Saccharomyces cerevisiae S288C: one gene and its partner. The gene in region 1 interacts genetically with each later gene. Each region holds a gene or a part of one and is shown in the gene's direction. Other genes may lie near its edges. The genes, in order: AAP1 and IDP3.

Evidence for each region.
Region 2: mutations in AAP1 (region 1) and IDP3 together harm fitness less than expected from each alone (positive genetic interaction), as found in Saccharomyces cerevisiae (one large-scale study listed by BioGRID).

The regions. Positions count from the first base shown.
Region 1 is NC_001140.6:198,221-203,371, reverse strand, and holds AAP1 (arginine/alanine aminopeptidase), read left to right. Parts: upstream 1-2,061; coding exon 2,062-4,632; downstream 4,633-5,151. Other genes in the region: inositol monophosphate 1-phosphatase INM1, read left to right, coding at 5,087-5,151. UniProt on the Saccharomyces cerevisiae protein: Positive effector of glycogen accumulation. May be involved in nutrient-sensing.
Region 2 is NC_001146.8:612,691-616,583, forward strand, and holds IDP3 (isocitrate dehydrogenase (NADP(+)) IDP3), read left to right. Parts: upstream 1-2,130; coding exon 2,131-3,393; downstream 3,394-3,893. Other genes in the region: YNL011C (uncharacterized protein), read right to left, coding at 1-480; PYP1 (putative phosphoric monoester hydrolase), read left to right, coding at 945-1,670; putative ubiquitin-protein ligase ASI3, read right to left, coding at 3,521-3,893. UniProt on the Saccharomyces cerevisiae protein: May function in the production of NADPH for fatty acid and sterol synthesis.

The DNA.
Region 1 (5,151 bases):
AATCAAATTGCCTATAAGCATGGATCACTAGCGGCTAGTATTGTATTGCATTTGGAATAGCCCTCTTCGTTGAGCCACAAAGATATCTTGCGGAAATGTGGCTAAAGCAACTTTTGATGATTGCTGGGAAACGGTTTGGTAAACTGCTGAAGCAATTGTTGTACACAATACTTCTGCTTTTGGCCCCATCTGGATTTTTCATTTCCGCTTTTGCCTCAGGTGCAACAATAACTATCTTTGAGCATCGTACCACCAATACAAAAGGATATGATCGTTATCATACAGAATTTTTCATGGATTTTGCATGTTTCGGTATAACTTTACGTAGGTGAATTATTGAAGGGCTTTGTGATAGGTGTGGATGTACCTGCCGTGCGTTGATGACCTTCAACTGATCGGAACAAATTGCTATTACATGTAAAAATCTCATGTATGAGCGAATCTTTTTGTGTTATAGGCAATCACCTAGAAAAGCTTGGAAATTGGTCCTGAGTTTTTTGTTGATGGTAAGTGCATTTTTTTAGTATGAAAGGTTTACGATATTAGCTGCTAAGTTCTCCCTTGCCCTAGTGAATTACGTTTTTTTCGATTAAAAGGGTTGGTCCCGAAATTGACCTCTTATATGTACCTCAATTGCAGATAGCATCAAATTTAGACTACGTCATCAACCAAATTACACCCTATGAAAAACATAAGATTATAAGCATGCGTTTGTGTAAAGGTCATACCATTTTATACGTTGACGCAATGGTGCAAATAGAAAGGTTTACGAAAGCTCTTATTCCGCTTAGCGCAATTCTATTGTTAATTTCAAGTAAAAAGATAAATATCTCACGTCCTTATATTATCTTTGATTAAAATTTCACGATCAATGTAACGAAAAAAGGTCGCAAATATTTCTTTTTCATCACTCTGATTAAACAATGGCATCATGAAACGCTCATTGGATCGTTACACGTTCTCATTGTACATATGTATGATTTAGAACAGCTTGTTCGCCTGATCTCCACCTTATACCCTCATCTTACCGCAGTGCGGTTTTACGCCTCATGTTATTTTTGCCAGCTTTAATAACAACATCAGTAATATTACGTTATTGGATCTTCCACTCCGGTTCGAGGAAAAAAAGAGAGGAGGAGAAACGCATAAGCTACAATAATGAGTGAGTTAACGCTTTAATTTGCTCAGTGATCATTGCTAGCCGGATATTTGTGTTTTTGTAGAACCCAGCCATACCTAATCATCTCAGTATATTATCTGAATTCTTGACTCAAAATATGGATTTTCTCGAACGTCTCACTTCCAATCATCCCATCAAATGCTGTGGATGAAAACATTTAAAACACGGGCAAGAAAAAATGAGTATAGTATAGTTGTGGCCAGTTCTTGTTGTACTAATGCACTTGCTTTCGTATCAAAGTTGAAGAAGCACTGAAAGAACAACAAAAAATTTATTAAAAGCAAAAATCATTCTACGTTCAACGAAAATGTAAGGCAAATATATCTTTATATAGGCAAGCATAACCGACGCTAACTTTGTTCGAGCTTCATCAACGTTATTAATATCGTAGTTATTCCGCTTTGTCTCAATAAGCTTTTGCTTACTTGAGAAAAAGAACGAAGTTTCTGTTTGAGATTTTCCTTCTCATTTTCTTTGAAATTTAAAGGAGAAATATTCAGCTCTATACATTCTTTGTTCGAGTATGTTACACATCACCTTACAATGGGAACATCCTATGATGACATACTTCTTCTCGATGATTTATTTTTTTTCTCAGCAAACGCTGTTTTCTAGGCGGTGAAAAACGGGAGTCTTCATCCCACATTTTTTGAACTCGTTGTGAAAGTTTTTTTTCGTACTCTTGGACTTGGCTGTGGGAGTTTGACACATTTTTTTATTTTTTTTCCGTTTTTTTCCCTTTTGTTAGCGATCAAACTTTTGACTTTATGAGTAATCTTAGCTAATCATTTAGAATTATCTTCAGGGAAGCTTATTCAATTCGTGATTTTTCTTTGAGGGTTCCTGTTCAAGCAAGCCAAATTGCCCTCTCAGCTAATACCATGTCCCGTGAAGTACTGCCAAACAACGTTACCCCATTGCATTATGACATTACACTAGAACCTAATTTCCGTGCTTTTACGTTTGAAGGGTCATTAAAAATTGACCTGCAGATTAATGATCATTCGATAAACTCTGTGCAAATAAATTACTTAGAAATAGATTTCCATTCTGCACGTATTGAGGGTGTCAATGCCATTGAAGTTAACAAAAACGAAAACCAACAAAAAGCTACTCTTGTCTTTCCTAATGGAACTTTTGAAAACCTAGGACCTTCTGCGAAGTTAGAAATTATCTTTTCCGGTATTCTAAATGATCAGATGGCGGGATTTTACAGGGCTAAGTATACGGATAAAGTCACAGGGGAGACGAAGTACATGGCTACTACTCAGATGGAAGCCACAGATGCTAGAAGAGCCTTTCCTTGTTTTGACGAACCAAATTTGAAGGCGACTTTTGCAGTAACTTTGGTCTCTGAATCGTTTCTGACTCATTTGTCCAACATGGATGTCAGGAATGAAACAATCAAAGAGGGTAAGAAATATACAACTTTTAACACGACTCCAAAGATGTCTACGTACTTAGTAGCATTTATTGTAGCTGACCTGAGATACGTGGAAAGCAATAATTTCCGTATTCCAGTAAGAGTTTATTCTACCCCAGGGGACGAAAAATTTGGTCAGTTTGCAGCCAATTTAGCTGCTAGGACCTTGAGATTCTTTGAGGACACCTTCAACATAGAATATCCATTGCCAAAGATGGATATGGTGGCAGTTCATGAGTTTTCTGCTGGTGCTATGGAAAACTGGGGGCTAGTGACTTATAGAGTTATTGATTTGTTATTAGACATAGAAAATTCGAGTTTAGATCGCATTCAAAGAGTTGCTGAGGTTATTCAGCATGAACTAGCCCACCAATGGTTCGGCAACTTGGTCACCATGGATTGGTGGGAAGGCTTATGGTTGAATGAAGGTTTTGCCACTTGGATGTCTTGGTACTCTTGCAACAAGTTTCAACCAGAATGGAAAGTTTGGGAGCAATATGTTACTGACAATTTACAACGTGCTCTAAATTTAGATTCATTAAGATCTTCCCATCCAATTGAAGTTCCCGTTAATAATGCGGACGAAATCAATCAAATTTTTGATGCTATTTCTTATTCTAAAGGATCTTCTTTATTGAGGATGATTTCCAAATGGTTGGGTGAAGAGACTTTTATTAAAGGTGTGTCCCAATACCTGAATAAATTCAAATACGGTAATGCAAAGACCGGAGATTTGTGGGACGCCTTAGCAGATGCCTCTGGCAAGGACGTTTGTTCGGTGATGAACATCTGGACAAAACGTGTTGGTTTTCCAGTGTTATCTGTCAAGGAACACAAGAACAAAATCACATTAACTCAACACCGTTATTTAAGTACCGGTGATGTTAAAGAAGAGGAAGATACAACCATATACCCCATTTTGTTAGCTTTGAAAGACAGTACAGGTATCGATAACACATTGGTATTGAACGAAAAATCTGCTACTTTCGAATTAAAGAATGAAGAGTTCTTCAAGATTAATGGTGACCAATCTGGTATTTTCATTACCTCTTATTCTGACGAAAGATGGGCTAAGCTATCCAAACAGGCAAATTTATTATCCGTAGAGGATCGTGTTGGCTTAGTCGCAGATGCAAAAGCCCTTTCTGCATCTGGCTATACCTCTACTACTAACTTCTTGAATTTAATTTCTAATTGGAAAAACGAGGATTCATTTGTTGTTTGGGAACAAATCATTAATAGTTTATCCGCTCTGAAATCTACTTGGGTCTTCGAACCAGAGGATATATTGAATGCTCTAGATAAATTTACTTTGGATCTAGTACTTAACAAACTTTCTGAATTGGGGTGGAATATTGGCGAAGACGACTCCTTTGCTATCCAACGTTTAAAAGTGACCCTTTTCAGTGCCGCATGCACTTCTGGCAATGAAAAAATGCAATCGATTGCGGTAGAAATGTTTGAGGAATACGCCAATGGGAACAAACAGGCCATACCTGCACTGTTCAAGGCAGTTGTTTTCAACACCGTTGCCAGACTTGGCGGAGAAAACAATTACGAAAAGATTTTCAACATCTATCAAAACCCTGTTTCGTCAGAAGAAAAGATTATCGCTTTGAGAGCTTTGGGCAGATTTGAAGACAAAGAACTTTTAGAAAGGACATTGTCTTATCTGCTAGATGGTACAGTTTTGAATCAAGATTTTTACATCCCAATGCAAGGCATTAGAGTTCATAAGAAGGGTATTGAAAGGTTATGGGCTTGGATGCAAGAACACTGGGACGAAATTGCTAAGAGATTACAGCCAGGCTCGCCTGTGTTGGGTGGCGTGTTGACATTGGGTTTAACTAATTTTACCTCTTTTGAAGCCCTTGAAAAAATTAGTGCGTTCTATAGTAGAAAGGTCACTAAAGGTTTTGATCAAACCCTGGCTCAAGCCTTAGACACTATTAGATCCAAGGCGCAATGGGTGAGCAGAGATCGTGAAATCGTTGCTACCTACTTGCGTGAGCATGAGTATGATCAATAGCTTTTTTTTTTCACGAGCACCTACAACACAAATATATACATATGCCAATGAGTCAAAACCACGTGTAATTAATAAAGAGATTACTACTTGCTTATGTAGAAATATAGTAGCTAGCAGAAAATGAATCTGATAACATCTTCATTGACACATTTCCAAGTATAGAGAACTTTCTTCTGCTTCCTTTCGGAAGAACTGAGTGAATATTGACTGGCGTGCGTCATAGCGAGATTTTTTCATCTGATGATGTATGGAAAAAAAAAAAAAACTTTTTTTTGAATAATGGATGCATCGAGTGACTTTCATTGTTGCGCACGTTGCTTTTCCAAAAATGGTATTAATATAGGTCTTTTATCTCTTACTTCACATTTAACTGCTTGTTAAATAACCCCAGTGTTTTCTTTTTTTTGGATGAATAAGGAAATCAACAGCTGGTACACGCATATACACATATACCATGACCATTGATCTAGCTTCTATCGAGAAATTCCTCTGTGAACTGGCTACTGAAAAAGTAGGACC
Region 2 (3,893 bases), on another chromosome or scaffold:
TTCAATAGATGCGTCTAGAGAACCTAAAAACAATCTAGCACCAGTTAAGAAAAAATTTCCAATGGATGCACTCTCAAACTGAAATGGATTCGAGTGTTTGATTTTTTTCAAGAGTTCTGCTTGCATATGGATAATAAAAGAACGACACATTTCCTTAACTTCTATCGAAATATTTTTCCATATGGGATGCGAACCTTCCACTATTTCATTCCATTCTTTCTTAGCTAATAACTTATCATTAGGTAGCCTATGGCCAAACAACTCGACAAGCTGTTCATCTTGAAGTAGTCTCACTATTCTAGATCTGATATCACCAATTGCTGGGCCACCAACTATTCGTAGAATTTCACTTGTGGACCCGCCATTATCTGATATTGGCAATATATACGTCAGCTCATGTCCTTTTAAGATAGAAATATTAGAAAAGCAAGGAGTCAATGAATTTGTGGCAGTCCCACCGGAGCACACAACGACGTTCATCTAGTAAACTATCTCACCACACTCTGCTATTTTGTCCCCTTATTACCTCGAGGGAACAAAAGATTCCGTTTCCTCTCTTTCATAGTCCGCCTAAATAGCTTAAGAAATAAACCCAAACATCACACATTAGCGTTCTTTAGGAAATACGAAACAGGTTAATACAACAGTAGTAACTTTCCACATAATATCTAAGCATTACACGCTGAAAAAAACTCTTTATTGGATATCAACAACCCAACACATTGTACGACATATTCTTTTATCGTTCTACTATGGTACCCTGTTCAAATCTCTTTTTCTAAAATGAGCGAAATTTTCGAAAATTATCGCATAATTTTTCATCATCTTAAATTAAAAAAATACAGTGTCCTCTATTGTTTATCTCAACAGAACGCACACATTCTTGAAACTTGCTCACATAACATAAGCTGGAGTGACATAGCATTTATATATATACAAGGGAAATGGTCAAAGCTGTTATTTTTACCGATTTCGACGGTACCGTTACTTTGGAAGATTCTAACGATTATCTGACCGATACTTTAGGTTTCGGTAAGGAAAAAAGATTAAAGGTCTTCGAAGGCGTGTTAGATGATACTAAGTCTTTTAGGCAAGGTTTCATGGAAATGCTGGAATCCATCCACACCCCTTTCCCTGAGTGTATCAAGATCTTAGAAAAGAAAATTCGATTGGATCCTGGTTTCAAGGATACATTCGAATGGGCTCAAGAAAATGATGTCCCTGTCATCGTTGTTTCCAGCGGAATGAAACCAATTATCAAGGTTTTATTGACCAGATTAGTTGGACAAGAGTCTATTCACAAAATTGACATTGTTTCCAATGAAGTGGAAATCGATGCACATGATCAATGGAAAATCATCTATAAGGATGAAAGTCCCTTCGGACATGACAAATCCAGAAGTATCGATGCTTATAAAAAGAAATTTGAATCTACCTTGAAAGCAGGTGAACAAAGACCCGTTTACTTTTACTGTGGTGACGGTGTTTCTGATCTAAGTGCTGCAAAAGAATGTGATTTGCTATTTGCCAAAAGAGGTAAAGATTTGGTCACTTATTGTAAAAAACAAAACGTCCCATTCCATGAATTCGATACCTTCAAAGACATCTTGGCTAGCATGAAACAAGTTCTGGCTGGTGAAAAGACAGTCGCTGAATTGATGGAAAATTAGTGCAAGACTCTTACGAAATATTAAAGTTTAATACCGTGTAACTGCCTCTTACATATGTATGCATATATACGTACGTACTATATTTTTCTTGTATATCTTTTTTATTGTCTGAGAGAAAGAACATCAAAAAATAAAGGAAGATCCTCCTCGGATTTAGCATGCTTAATGCCGAATCTTTAATACAAAACGAATGATATTTCAAGTATACTAATTAGAAATCAATCAAACATACCAAAAGGGACAGTAAAGAGAAAAGCAGGAGCTCTCTTTTAGGGGAAAAGTAAAATGTGATTAGTATTTCGTTGCGTGTACTAGTCAACTCTTCTTGTCATTCTTAAATTTACATTAATTACCCCAATTTTGCATCTTCGTATATAAGAGTGTTCCCCTTATAAGCTTTCTCCTGCACATACCTGCAGTAAACACAAGCAACACTTTAGAGATAGTTGTCCAAGTTAAAATGAGTAAAATTAAAGTTGTTCATCCCATCGTGGAAATGGACGGTGATGAGCAGACAAGAGTTATTTGGAAACTTATCAAAGAAAAATTGATATTGCCATATTTAGATGTGGATTTAAAATACTATGACCTTTCAATCCAAGAGCGTGATAGGACTAATGATCAAGTAACAAAGGATTCTTCTTATGCTACCCTAAAATATGGGGTTGCTGTCAAATGTGCCACTATAACACCCGATGAGGCAAGAATGAAAGAATTTAACCTTAAAGAAATGTGGAAATCTCCAAATGGAACAATCAGAAACATCCTAGGTGGAACTGTATTTAGAGAACCCATCATTATTCCAAAAATACCTCGTCTAGTCCCTCACTGGGAGAAACCTATAATTATAGGCCGTCATGCTTTTGGTGACCAATATAGGGCTACTGACATCAAGATTAAAAAAGCAGGCAAACTAAGGTTACAGTTTAGCTCAGATGACGGTAAAGAAAACATCGATTTAAAGGTTTATGAATTTCCTAAAAGTGGTGGGATCGCAATGGCAATGTTTAATACAAATGATTCCATTAAAGGGTTCGCAAAGGCATCCTTCGAATTAGCTCTCAAAAGAAAACTACCGTTATTCTTTACAACCAAAAACACTATTCTGAAAAATTATGATAATCAGTTCAAACAAATTTTCGATAATTTGTTCGATAAAGAATATAAGGAAAAGTTTCAGGCTTTAAAAATAACGTACGAGCATCGTTTGATTGATGATATGGTAGCACAGATGCTAAAATCAAAGGGCGGGTTTATAATCGCCATGAAGAATTATGATGGCGATGTCCAGTCTGACATTGTGGCACAAGGATTTGGGTCTCTTGGTTTAATGACGTCCATATTGATTACACCTGATGGTAAAACGTTTGAAAGCGAGGCTGCCCATGGTACGGTGACCAGACATTTTAGAAAACATCAAAGAGGCGAAGAAACATCAACAAATTCAATAGCCTCAATATTTGCCTGGACAAGGGCAATTATACAAAGAGGAAAATTAGACAATACAGATGATGTTATAAAATTTGGAAACTTACTAGAAAAGGCTACTTTGGACACAGTTCAAGTGGGCGGAAAAATGACCAAGGATTTAGCATTGATGCTTGGAAAGACTAATAGATCATCATATGTAACCACAGAAGAGTTTATTGATGAAGTTGCCAAGAGGCTTCAAAACATGATGCTCAGCTCCAATGAAGACAAGAAAGGTATGTGCAAACTATAAACCAATCCGCCATTCATTTGAAAAGACAAGTCTGGCCTAGGGTTATAGTGTTCAGACTTGAGGTTGAACATATCCAAAAAAAAAAATTCCTATGATGTCTTAAATACGTATACCTAATAAAATAATTCTAGACTATATTCAACTTACTGTAACCCTTCACCTCACTATCACAGCTGACGCATGTAGCAAATCCTTTATAACCCAGAGATATCCTACAATCATCGCATAATGCAAGGCATCTACAGGGCCAAGTTACAATATTTCTTTTATTAACTTTGCAGATTAGGCAGGAGAGATCCATTTCCTCCACTTCGTCGCAACTATCAAAGGCAAAATCAAACTTGAACTCTAATTTGTCATCGTCCTTCATATTTAAACGTTTGTACATATACCTGGAGTTTGTATGATGCAGAAGGCGTTCAATAACAACATCGACTAGTACACCTTGTGGGTTTCTTTTACCATATTGTGATCTAGTCAACGGTCCATTAACCTTATTA